Caenorhabditis elegans: one gene and its partner. The protein of the gene in region 1 purifies or fractionates together with the protein of each later gene. This does not show direct contact. Each region holds a gene or a part of one and is shown in the gene's direction. Other genes may lie near its edges. The genes, in order: hrg-7 and lbp-4.

Evidence for each region.
Region 2: the proteins of hrg-7 (region 1) and lbp-4 fractionate together in Caenorhabditis elegans (co-fractionation; one large-scale study listed by BioGRID). This does not show direct contact.

Annotation. Positions count from the first base shown.
Region 1 is NC_003283.11:12,739,070-12,746,744, forward strand, and holds hrg-7 (Aspartic protease 10), read left to right. Parts: upstream 1-2,971; 5' UTR 2,972-3,000; coding exon 3,001-3,071; intron 3,072-3,113; coding exon 3,114-3,393; intron 3,394-3,440; coding exon 3,441-3,517; intron 3,518-3,562; coding exon 3,563-3,698; intron 3,699-3,816; coding exon 3,817-4,148; intron 4,149-4,199; coding exon 4,200-4,313; intron 4,314-4,761; coding exon 4,762-5,038; 3' UTR 5,039-5,102; downstream 5,103-7,675. Other genes in the region: PAS domain-containing protein cky-1, read left to right, coding at 44-258, 310-416, 465-630, 1,070-1,295, 1,346-1,915; C15C8.7 (uncharacterized protein), read right to left, coding at 5,371-5,471, 5,858-5,981; C15C8.4 (Alpha-2-macroglobulin RAP C-terminal domain-containing protein), read right to left, coding at 6,476-6,640, 7,515-7,675. UniProt on the Caenorhabditis elegans protein: Aspartic protease which plays a role in heme homeostasis and mediates inter-organ signaling between the intestine and extra-intestinal tissues when cellular heme levels are low.
Region 2 is NC_003283.11:7,816,620-7,822,965, forward strand, and holds lbp-4 (Fatty acid-binding protein homolog 4), read left to right. Parts: upstream 1-3,958; 5' UTR 3,959-3,967; coding exon 3,968-4,125; intron 4,126-4,381; coding exon 4,382-4,484; intron 4,485-4,535; coding exon 4,536-4,712; 3' UTR 4,713-4,858; downstream 4,859-6,346.

The DNA of each region.
Region 1 (7,675 bases):
TGCCAAAAATATGTTATTTCAAAGCAAAAATTGGGATTTTCAGTTCGTCCTATTCCAAGGTCGATATATTCAACCTGCCGAATTTTATCAACAATTGAATGCTCAAAACTCTCAACCTGATTGTGATCAGCCAGTTTTCTCGGCTTATTGTCAACCTCTTATAAATCCAGAAAATGCTGAAGGAATGTCCACTGGAAATACACATGTGTTTAGTACTCAACATTATTTGGATATGAAATTTAAGGAAGCCGATACAATGTAAGCATGAAAAATGTTAAAAACTTGAATTTTATTATTGATCAATTTCAGGGCCTCTCAACATTTGGGATTCAGTAAAGAGCAATTGAAAGGAATGTCTTGGTACGGAATGATTCATCCTAATCATGTACCCGAAATTGCTCATAAACATCGATTATGTATGTTTTAAGATACTGTGTGAAATACTTTTACATAATTTTTTTCAGTATGTCAAGAGAAAGAAGGGTCAGTTCTTGCATTAATTCGATTACAAGCTGCAAATGGAGAATGGATATGGTTGCATACAGTATTCTCAATTCGACCAAATAATGAGTTGAATAGTGATGGAAAAAGACTTCGTCATGTTATACACTGCTTCCATCAGAAACTTACGTAAGTTTTATGAACGCGAAAATAGTTTAAGACTTTTTCCCGTCCAAAACCACTCCACATATCAACAAAAATGTAAAAAAAATATGTTTTTTTTTACTTTTCTATTTACTATGAGTTCTATACACTCATAACTTTGGAAATCCTTAAGAACAATTTTTTCTAAGATTTCGTATTTTTATAATTATGCTTTATCTATTATGTTGTAAACGTTGTACATAGACATCTCAAACATTCGAGATCGTTCTAAACTGCTCAAAATTTGGAATATTACCAAAACTTCGGCAGAAATGTCTCTAAAATTTAATATGATTTGAAGGTTATTAGTATTATATTGAGTGGGTTAAGTTACATGATTATTAGAGTATTTACAGAAAAGCTCCTTCAAAGATTTACAAATATTCCGTAACTCCAAGCTAGACCCTACAATTAAATTTTTCAGTGATCTGGAAGCTGCGACTCTTCAAGCGAATTCCTGGATCTACAGCATGCGACACACTTACCCAACAGTTTTTTCATGTCAAGATTCTCCACCACCATCCGAAGAACAACAACCATCAAGTCCGCAAACTCCACCATTCACTGAGCAGCCGCCAATGCTCGTTGAGCAGAAGCCTCTTATTGGAGCAGGAATCGCACCAGGTTTTCCGTCATTGGATTACAATCAGGTGATTAGAACGTAAAACTTCGATTTAATTTTAACTTTATGAACTTTCAGATAAAAGTGGAAATTCCAATGCGTCCAATCAATACTCAAATTCCATTATTTACCCCCGAGTCATCATCACCGGAGAGTTCTGCATCCCTTCATACATCTTTACTTCCTCATCATAATGCATTCCCATTAGACATTCTTGAAGACATTTTACCTTCAAATGACGTGCTCCCAGAGCTTAAAGATGAAGTGGACGAAATTCTTCGGCAAGTTGAGCAATCTCCAGCAACATCCCCAGCTCATTCATTTCCTTCAAATGTTAATTTTGGTCATCGTCATTCTATGCCAAATGCATTTGATTCCGCCGAATTGTACAAATATCTAGGACCAGCACTATTTGATGGAAATTTTGCAATGCAACATCAACACCACCTCCAACAACAGCATCAATCCCAACCGAATCATCCTCTTCAAATGACTCCAATTCCTCCCATGTCATGTCCTCCATCAAATTACGGACAATCAAACTTTCTATTCCATCATCAACATCTCAATCAACACCTACATCATTCCCAACCTCCGCATCCTTACCATTTTGATTATTACAACCGAAAACGAAGTTGGGCTGTATAAAATAATTGAAAATTAGTACTCTAGTATCTCATTTCATTCCATTACTCAAATTTATCTCTTATATTTATTTCCATTATAGACTTTTCAATTGATGTCTTTCATTTTCATTCATTATCAGTATTTATCCGGGTAGATTTACAAGAGCTTTCACATATTGACTATATCATTCTTTCAATTTTATAATTCTCCTCTTTGTAAGTTTTAATAAATATTTTATTGTTTTTTATTCCACAAGATAAAGCATTACTGAAAAAATTTACAATACTTCAAAAATAATTATTTATTGAATTTTAGTCTCCAGGTTTAATCAATCAAATAATTCTCGTCAAAATAGCCTTCGAAATAAGTTGTATTGCAGTAAAAACGTATGATTTTATCTAGAGACAAAAAAATATTTCCAACGGTCAAACGAACCTTTCAAATGATGATCTGAATTTTTTTCAGTTCATTTTTTTTATGGAATCCAAGCTCCTTTTAAAAAAAAGCAGGCCACTTATGTTTATTATCCTTCGGCACCAATAGATTATTTTGAAGTAATTTTAAAACTTGACAAATCGGCACCATTTTTGGTTGAGAATTTTCGGGTCAGAACTTTGAAGGAATCCGAGGTAAGATCTGCTCTAAATGTGTGTGGTAAGCTAGCCTAAATTAAAGTTAGTTTCAGATGATATTCAATTCGTTTTGACGTTTGAGACTACCTTGACTACCATTCCTTGTTCGAATAATTGCGTACATAAATAAAAGCATTAAAACTGACAAAATTGTGCTAAACACAACAAAAACATGACAAACTTCAACGAATCACAAAGCACAGTTTATCAATCCGGGTTCAATTCTGAAAAGAAATCGGCGAACTTCAACATCAAGCCGCCCATAAGAGACATAATATGATAGTCATTAGTTGCATCATATGTCTGCTCCTCCTATCTCATACTATATATTCCAATGCCGAACTGATAGTGCCGAAAAGAAGTGAGTTTTCCATTTAATTTTTCGCTGCAGTTTTGTTTTCGTCAACCAGTTTCAATTAATTCAAGCTATATAATACATTTACAGGTTAAATTAGGGGAAAAAAGTTGGAAGCCATGAAGACGTTTATTGCATTGTTAGCTCTCTTGACTGTGGTCTCTGCAGAAGTCCACCAATTTAATATTGGGTAAGTTTTACTGATTAATTGAGCTCAATTTTCCATTATTAGATACCGACCAAACATGCGTCAACGTATGAATGCCAAAGGAAAATTGGCAGAATATGAAAAGGAACGCAACGAACTTCTGTCAAAGAAGAGCCTTCAATTGGCATCATCCTCGTCCCCAGTTATTGATTATGAGGATATGGCATACATGGTTCAAATTAGTTTAGGAAGCCCAGCTCAGAACTTTGTTCTTTTTATCGATTCTGGTTCTTCTAACTTGTGGGTCCCAGATATCACATGTGCTGGAGGAAAAGATGCCACTTGTGGAAGTTACTGTAAATCTGTGAGTTTAATAACTCAAAGAATCGAATGCATTATCCAATATTTCAGACTCCATATGATGCTTGTTTGACTTTCTGTCAAGAGGAATGCTGTACCAAAACCGTTGAAGGAGTTAAAGTTCTTTCGTATGCATCATTCTCTGTTCAGCTATAGCATTAGGTATTTTGCAGAACCACTGACGCTTGCCAGTCTAAGCATCGGTTCAATTCATCTCTCTCATCATCATATGTGACCAATGGACAAAAGTTTGATATGACTTATAACACTGGAGAAGTGAAGGGATTCTTTGGAGTTGATACTTTCTGTGTAAGTTTTCTCTTTTTAGATTGTTTTAGATTTCTCTCTCTCTCTCTCTCTCTCTCTCTCTCTCTCTCGTCAATTTGAATTTATTCATTTTCCACTCCCCAAATCAACGATATTTTAGTTCACTAACACATCCGTCTGTGCCACTGGCCAAGTTTTCGGACAAGCCACCACAATCGGAGAAGCTTTTGCAAAACAACCAGAAGATGGAATCATTGGTCTTGGATGGCCTGCTCTAGCCGTAAACCAACAAACTCCACCATTGTTCAATTTGATGAATCAAGGAAAACTTGATCAACCATACTTTGTCGTATATCTTGCCAACATTGGTCCAACTTCCCAAATCAATGGAGGAGCATTCACCGTTGGAGGTCTCGATACAACTCATTGTAGTTCTAATGTCGACTGGGTTCCACTATCCACTCAAACTTTCTGGCAGTTTAAGCTCGGAGGGTAAGATATTTTTTACCTTGATAAACAAAACTATCTTAATTACTTTTCCAGAGTATCATCTGGGTCATACAGTCAAGCTCCAAACTCTGGATGGCAAGCAGCTGCTGATACAGCTGCATCATTCATCGGAGCACCAAAGAGTGTTGTTACCAGTCTTGCCAAGGCGTGAGTTTAGCAATACGCTGTAGACCGTTTAGTATCTCTAAATCCTATAGCTTTGCCCCAACAAATTTAGTCACGGCCGTATTAATTTACGCATCTGATTTTTTCAGAGAACTTTACAGTTATTAGATATTGTGATTTCGCGAAAATTTGACATTTCAGTTTAAAGGTGCAAGCTGTTTTTTTGAGTGGGTCTCGCCACGATCTCAGTGATAGTGTGCCAAATTTAAACTATTTGTTTTCTTTGTGTTGAAAATGAAATTTACAAAATTTCAAAGCCTGAAGTGTACATAAAAAGTTGGAATTTATCATAAAACTTTTAGCACGAAGCCCGTTCTGGGTTACTGTAGATTTTCAAAAAATAGTTATTCAGTGAGAATTTGCACTATTTCATAAATAAAATAATGCGTTGTGTGAAAAACTGTTAAAATTTATATAAATATCATTTCAGAGTTGGAGCCACATATGTTCCACTTACGGGTGCATTCTTCATGGATTGTGACGCTGTTGTCCCAGATATTGTATTCACAATTAACGGAAAAACATATAATATGCCATCAACATCATTCGTTGTATCTGCTGGACCTGGGCCATGCATGTTTGCATTTTATGAGTTAACTGCTGGAGGATTCTATCCAGCTTGGATGCTCGGACCACCTTTTATGCGTGCCTATTGCCACGTACATGACATGAAGAGCGGAAGACTTGGCCTTGCAAAGGTTCTCTAAATCCAATGAATCTCACATCAACGAATAATAAATTCTAAAATTTAATAAAAACTTTACAATCAAAACAATTTATTTTGAAATGAAATAATTTTTCGAAACATTTTCGAAATTATGGTGGTAGTTGTACTTACTGCATATGAAGAATGGAGGGAAACGGGGATTTGAAATACAAGTACATATGTACAAATGGTTTGCCAATTAAGATGGAAAATGAAAACAACAAGATAATGCTCTTTGGGAAAGAGATAAAAACAACATAGATAAATTAACACTTAGCAAAGAAAAGAAAAGTGAAAAAGTAATAAAATGATACAGATTGAATTTTTGAGCTCTCAATTCGAGAGACTGGAGAGAACATGTGTGATGTGGCCACTCTCACCAGCAAGGCACTTTAGACACACTTTTTGCACCGGTGTCATCTTTTGCTTCTTGTCTGAAAACAAATACATTATTAGAATTTCTAATAAAACCATAATTTTTTTTAAATTTGAACTTTTTATTCACCAATTGGTGACACACTTTTTGAAATACTATCTTGTAAAATTAATTTTCGAAATGATGGAGAACCCACCTATAAAAGAAGTAGAAAAAAACCTATGAATATTTGGTAAATTTGAGATTTTTGGTGAAAATGAGTATTTTTTCCAAAATATTAAACTGCCATTAATTTTTTCCAGAAATTCCCAGAATGTCTTATTACGAAATTTGGTAGTTTTTGGCTATTTCGGATTTAAAAAAGAATAGTCTTAGATTTCGGTAACTCTAATGATTACTGTAGTTTTTTGAAAATAGTTTTAATGAAAAAAAAATTGAGCTTACCAAGAAGTGGATCTTGTGGTTTAACCGTGTAGACGTTGGTTCTGTCAGTGAGCTGTTGTTGAGTGGCAACACTTTCCGAAGCGACACGCTTACGGCCGAATTGCGACAGAAGACGATCGAACATCTGGAAATTTGATTTTCAAAAAAGAAGAAGGCACACAACAGATGGCAACATGAAAATGTTTAAAAAATGAAAGTGATAAGAATAAGATATTGGAAAGGCGTCTGCTTAATGATAACGCATGAAGAGAACAAATAAATGGAGCACTGATATCACATACTTTTCAAGATTTTTATACGTATAACCTTGGGGGCGGGGTTGGGTGCTGGAGGGTTTCAGATGATCACAATAAAATTAGATACAGCACCATGAATTCTATCACAATTGAAATACAAAAAAAGACCGAAAGTACAAAATTATCACAATCTGAAGTAGCTTACGAACAAAATATACACGTGACAAGAGAAGAACAATGGAGAAAAATAGAAGAATTATAAAATCAAACGACGTCTGTAATTATCATTATTATGGCCAAAAATGCAGGTAGAAATGAGCTCTCATTATGATATGATACGATAGGTGACATGATTAGATTGCATGAAGAATCACAAGGGTTTCTAGAGTTCTCTATGGATAATTATTTTCTCTTCTATATATTTTTCGAGTTTCCGCGCTTTTCGATTCAGTTTTTCATGTTTGATACTTAGCTCCAAGTTTTCATAAACTTGAGATTTATCCTTTCCACGTTCTTCTGCATCTTCTTGAAGGCGAGATACTTCCTCCTGAATAGAAATTGAATTAAATTTTCGATTGCAATTTTTTAATCAACGAGGAATTTTGAGAACGTTATTATTTTTTCAGTGTTTATTTGTTTTTCCTTTGTTATAATATTGTGTTTTTGATTAAAAACCCAATAGGAAAACAGTAAAATATGGAATTAAACAGTTTGATTTTAGGTCGATAAACAATTTTGAGGACGAATCAAAAATGACTACGTTATCAGTCTTGGCATAAAAGTTTATTTTGGAAGAGGGGTGAAAATTTGACTGATTAATTCCTTAGAACTATTCATATCGTTAAGAAATTCAGATTATAGAAAATGGTCTGGAATGGCCAAATGTAACCATTAATAAATTTTTTCAATTTCGCAAAAATTTTATAAAAAGAAAATAATTTTTGAATTCCTGCGAAAGCGAATGACCAAAATTAAACATTTTCGGGATTTTTCTTGATTTTGCTCTTTAAAATTAAGTTTGAAATACGTTTGCCAATTTTTCAGACAGGTTTTCCAAAAAAATGTTTATGTGAAATATCGTTTATTTTGAAGTTTCAGCGAATGTCTTTCGGGCATTAAATTTTTTTAAACGAAAATAACGTTTTATAAATTGACAAACCACATTAATATTTTCAAAAAATCAAGAAAAACCCATGAGCTTTGCCAGAAAACGAGAAAATGTTGAATCTGGGTAATTAATTAAAAAATAATCAGCCCTTTTTATTTTTGTAAAATGGAGAAAAAAATCATTAAAAACTTACAAATTTTTCAAATATTTTTTGCAGTTATCTTCGGTCATTCCCACCTATTTTCTATAATTTAGAGCAAAATCCCACATTTTTACCGCGTTTAGGACAGGAATTTGCAACAAAAAAGAATACCTTATGGAATTCGATTTTCTTCAGCTGACTTTCAAAATGAGATAATTCATCTTTCAGAACACTCAACTCGTGGGGCGTCAATTTTTCATTTTCTTGAGCCAACTTCCAAAGTCGTTTTACACGTGGCTCATTGAATGGAGAAAATTCTTCACTTGTAACTT
Region 2 (6,346 bases), 4.9 Mb from region 1:
GAGATTCAGAGCCAAGATAAGTTGAGCAAAAAGGCGAGAGGGTCCCGAAGCTTTCGTTTGGACCATCAAATTGAATTAGAAGGGTCAATTGGAGAAACCTAATGTCGCGAAGAAGAAGCTCTTTGTTAGTGAATGAATGAGAGACTGCGTCATTTGGAACACATTTAACTTTCAATGTATCTTCATATACAATTAAATTGAATTTCATTTTGGCCGGCATTTAATTGGTATTCAAAATAAGAAAATAGAAAAACGTTTCGAAAATTGATGCACTTTTATAGCCAAAATAATTTATTGTTCGGATGCTTTTAGTTGGGATGAGCTCTTAAATGAAAACAATTGAGAAGATATAATATGTACCTTTAAACCAAAAAAACAATATTGCTCCTTTATTCATCATAAGTGCCAATAAAGAACAATATCAAGCGCAAAAAACAAATTTAAGGTACTGACATCATTGGTTTTCATGGCAAAAGTTTAGAACAGGAGTGTACGGCAAATCTCAAAATTGGCAGAGCTCGGCAAATTCCGCAAATTTGCCTAGTTTAGAACTATAGAAATGTTACAATGTTTCATTTACTTTCAGTAAGAAAGCTACAACTTTTCAAAGCTCAAGTAGAGTAAGTGGGGAAATTGTTTAAAACCACTCCTATATTCTTCTTATTCTTATAATAACAATCTCGGGAAAACGTTTCAACATTTTTTTTTTAATTTTTCAAATTTGTAGAAAGAAAGAGGTACATACTTACTAGGTTTCAACAATAATAATTTTGAAAAAAAAACATTTCTACAAGTTTTAATTCTTGTTGCATTTTAATTGTTTATATTAAGATATTCTAGGACTCCCAAGCTACATTAGTCCTAACCAAAACCACCACCTAACCAAATTAACCAAATTAACCAAAAAGTCCAAAATTTTTGAAAAACTGGCATGTTGCCAAAACTTTGACTGAAAAATTCGAGTGGTATTAACTTTCTATGTGCTTCATTTATTATTTTTTAAACTGCCTTCTACGAAACAAATACCACTCAACTTTTTTGTTTAGATTGATATCACAAAATAATGTTAATGTAGCTATATTTCTATTCCGACTAGTGCCCCGTATTTTGAGCATTTTTTTAAAATCGAATTAAAAAAAAAAAAGTTTAACTGAAAAGTTTGAAAATCACCAAGATTTTTTGTGTGTTTTTATTTGTGTTTTTTTGTGAAACAATTTCATACTAAACATGCCCAAATTTCAATAAACAAATTCAATTTTTGGCCATCACGTTGTAAAAATTTAGTAATATTTTTTTGAATTTTAGCCTTTATCTACTTGCAAAAAAAATCAACGACCGAGCTCTAAACAGACTTGTGTTTCCTTTTTTTAAATTATTACGTTGAAAAACTTCACAAATTCAGTTTATTAACAAGTTGCAAGTTTAGCTTTTTAAAAAAAATTGAATGCCGTTACTTATAAAAATAATTCTAGCAATTTTTTGATCTTTTTAGAAGTTTACAAAATTCTAGTTTTTTTTCATCCAAAATTGTTCCTATAATTAAATCCCAAGAAGCCCTTTAAAAATTACATCAATGTTTCGAAGAACTTTTCTCTTCCGGGTACACTTTTCTTTTTGATATTTAGCAAAAATTTGAAAATACCAGATCATTTCCAAGGTACAAGTTTCAAACTTTCGCGCCAAAATTTGATGTATTTCCTGAAAAAAAAACAGCAACCTAATAGATCAGAGCAGAGTTTTCTTTTTCAACTAAACGGTGTCCCATTGTTCTCACTAAGCCAGTGAGCTTTCATCTAAAATTCCAAAGAAGTGAATATTTTATGTGTTGAGTGACAAATACCAAAAAATTCGAAATTTCAAAGCAAAAGAGATATTGGAAAAGAAAAAAGAAGAGTTTTCCGTGTTTTTGTCAAACGACATCTACTTCATAAATGCCCCATCCGTGGGGAAGAAATTGAGAAGAAGAAAAAAGAGAAAAAGCGATGAATGAATGGAAAATATTAATGATGAATATGAGAAAAACAACTGAAATTATTATTTTTTGTTTTTTGGGGTGAACGTAGGAAATTTGTTATAATATTGAATATTTCAATTACCAAATCAGGAAGTATACAATTTTTTACAAGGAGAAATTATTGGAAATGAGAAACCTCGACAGTCTCTTAAAGTAAGAACTTTTGTTAATTTTCTAATTAACCGTACTTGGTTTTTTCAAAAGTACTGAAATTCTGAAGAAATTAAGCCTTATGAAAAGTCTGAAAAGGGATTTTGGAAACAATTACTTTTTTCAGCATTGGGAAAACGGAGAAAAAAACTCATTTTTGAGAATTTTTAGGGTGGCCGAATTTTCTTTTTTTTTCTTCTAGGCTACGCCTTGGTACTAAAAATTCTATCCGAACATAAAAGGAGCAATACAGTTTTAAACTGAAAAGAAATCACGTGGCAATACACGTCATAAAACATAACGACTACAAAACTAAAAGTTTATGCAGTCTTCGCTTGCTTCTCGAAAAACTTGTTATGGAAATGAAATTTGATATCTTCATGCTTTACTAACTAGCTTCTGTGAAGTAGGGAAGAAGATCAGTGAGTGGAATTATATATTCTATGAATCTTTCCATTTTGTTAGGGCAGCGCGGGAATTAGAGCAAACTTTCTCGATTATTTAAAATTTTATTTAAAAAACAAAGTTACTAGTTTAAATATCGTATTTCCTCTATTTGTATTGCATCCCATTGTTCAACTTTGACAACTTAAATATCAGTTATTGTTTGTTCTATTCAAAAATTGTCAACTAACAAAATATTTGTTAGATCTTTTTCTGTCATTTCGTAGTTAATAATATATACTACATCTTTTGAAAGAATTGAGTTATAACGTTTCAAAGTTGAGTAGTAGAGTGCAATACTAATAGAGGAAATACGATATTTATATTATTGCTCAACAATAGCGATTTTCGTAAATATTTTTGCAACACAGCGTTCGCACAAATTATTTTGAGTTCGCGTGATCTTTAAAATAAAACAAGGCAGCAAAACATAAAATCTTCAAACACAAGAGATGCTCTTTTCATCTTCCTGAAATGAGGGAGCTCAAAGAAAAAGAAAACCCGAAAAGTTGTGAATAGCTCCGCCCCGCCTATCTGCGTCTCTGCTTTTTCGGCATTTGATCATTTCGAAAAGTCTGACCAATCTGATTAAAGTATGTATGTGTGTTTGCACTAAAGGCGGCTTTTCTATGGCTCTCGCCTCATAACATTCATCCCATCTTAATTTTTGCAGCTGAAAAATGGGCAAATAGAAGCGGAAAGTAGGAAAAAAGGCGCCAAAATAAGCAAATGAATGACGGAAAAACGGAGAGAATATTTGGCGAGGTGCCAAGCGAGCTCCTACGTGTCAACTTCGATTATACCTCTGTTTTTCGTTGATTTTCCGTGTTTATTGAGTGCCCACAGGAAAACAAAAACGCATACTCGTGAATAAATAAGACATGAAACGAATGTGGCATGTGGAAATGGAGATTTTTTTGGGAATATAAATCTGGAATTTCAGCTGAACTTTTCATTATCTAGTTCATTTGCAAGTATATTTTTTATTTTGCAGTTTATTTTCATCTTCTACTAATAATAGTTTAAATGGGTCGCATTTTATGGTCTTGGCACGAACGCTAAATTAAGAAAAATACAGAACAGTTGACTTAAGAAAGGGAAATGGCGATTTTTCTTTTCTAAAATCGTTAGTTCCATTTCAAAATTGACCTGAACTTTATTTTCACTTATAAAATTTTCACAAATATGTTTCCTCGGAATCTATTTTCCATTAGTCTGTGGTGACTTAATACAGACGCAATCGCGCTCCACCGACACCTAATTATTGTTACCGTTCAATTTAATTCGTTCTTTCATTTATTTCAATTTTTTCCCCGTTTATTTAATTTGCATCATTAAAAAAGTTTTCAGAAAAGGAAAATGTCAGTGCCAGACAAGTTCTTTGGCCGTTATCAGCTCGATAAAAGCGAGAATTTTGATGAATTTCTCTCCTCGAAAGGTGTCAACTGGTTCGTACGGCAAATGATCAAGTTGGCTGGACTCACTAAAATTATCTCACAAAATCAAGAAGCTGGGAAGTGAGTTCAATTAATAATTTTTTTTAACTGAAAATAACCATAACTTTTTATCTGGTGAAAAACTTTTTTAACGAAATTTTTAATTTTTAGAATTTACAACTGTCAACTCTAAAATTGGAAATACGTGAAATTTTTAAAATAAATATGTCACATGCTTCTTTGGCATTTCCAAGTGGTGGAGGAAATCTTTGTCATAAATTTTTCATGTTTTCGTCTAGAGACCACGAAAACATTCAGTTCATCTTGCCTATTCCAGGTACAACATGGAAAATCTAACTTCAAAAAAGAACACCAACTATCAGGCATGGGAACTTGGAAAAAAATTCGAAGCTCCTGGATTGGATGGAAATCAACATGAGGTGAGAACGAAAATTATTTAAATAATTAATTAAAACAATTTCCAATTTCAGATCACTTTCGACTTCAAAGATGAAATCCTTTCGGAGCATCATATTCGCCTGAATGAACCAGAAACCAGCGCAGAGACTTATTTCTACACTATCGACGATCAAAATCAACTGGTGATGAGAATGGAGAATAATGGAATCGTCTGTCGCCGTTGGTTCAAGAGAGTCGAGCAGAAGTGATCTGAATGTTGATTTGATGCTTCTCTGTTAATAGTTAAACCTTATTTATATTATTGTGATTATTTATTGCTGTGCCTTTTTTGTTAATTTTACATTGAGGGTTTGCATAATTGTTTAAGTTTTTGATGAAAAGTTTCAGCTGTTCCTTCTGTGGTTTTGCACTCAACACTTTAAAAAGCAGATGTTCAGAAATGATGTCATTGAAATTGAATGTGGCGTGTTCTTGAATGTTTACCGCAACAAACGGATCAACTTTTCTGGCAAAGTGCCAGCCGTCTCCGATCGCCAGACAGGCTTTACGATGTGAGATGCGCGCACTTTTTGTGTTGACCCGGTCAACTGTGGTTACACTCGGAACACAATTCTGATTACACTTGAAAAACGAAATTGAACAAAAAATATAGAAAATAATCAAAATCAGAACATTATCTGTTTTTGAAATAATTAATCACGGCAAAAGTTCGCAGAAAAACGTCCTTGACGAAAATATTGCGAATTTAAATTTTTTTAAAAAGCTAGAATACGGTACCCGGTCTAGGCACGAAATATTTTTGTTAAATCCAAAAAGATGTGCGCCTTCGAAGAGTACTGTAATTTCGAACTTGTTGCTACGGAATTTTCATCGATTTTTAATAGTTTTTCGATAAAATAGTTATTTATTTACTTATCAAATACTGAAATATAATAATATCATCATATGATGAGTGAAAAATTATGAAAAATCGGTACAAATTCCGCTTAAATAAATGTTTAGGAATTACAGTACTCTTCACATTTTACAAAAATTAGCCGTGTCGAGACCGCGTACCTTTTTTGACACAAAATCACACAATTTCTGGGCATAAGAATATTTTCAGAATATTTTCAGAGTTTTGTCAATATATTATGGTATTTGAAAATTTTAAATTTATTAACAAAATATAAAAACCACGTACAATATTTACCTAGAAACACAAAAAATCGATAATTCAATGACGAAAATTATCAAGAAAATCTACCGTATTCGCGCCTACGGTAGAAAGTATCGGTCGTCGCAGGACCTCGACCATATTTCTATATTTTCTTGAAGGTTTCCGGGTTTTTAAAGGTCACAAATTTGAAAACAACCATTTTCAGTTTATCAGAGTATTTCAGAATTTCTCCGGCAGGATTATTGATCAAATTTTCTGAACCACCGATTTTTCGTTTGTTTATTTTAAATCAACAAAAGTCTTCTGGAACAATCTCAAGACGCCAATGACCCCCCTCCCTCTCACTTTTTTTGTGTTTCTATTTTTCGATGAATTGTCGACTTTGTGTGGCATCCAAAGACACCAAGTGGCCCTGTGTTGCAAAAAGAAAGTCCATCCTTCTGGCGGACGAGAGGAGACTTACAACTTCTTTCCATCCTCTCCTTCCTCATTAATCTGCGAAAGGTTGGTGAGGGGATTTTGGGCCGCCTGCTCGCGCCTGTCACCTCCATAAATAATTGCGATCTCTCTTGTTGCTCCTCTGGTATCTGTCTTCATCTACTTCATTCACACTGACTCATCATTCCGCCACGTTGGAATGTGATTGGAAAAGTGATAGCTGCTGATGTGAAGAGCAAGAAGAGACGAAATGACACGTGTAACTCATTGAAATGCTCATTCGAA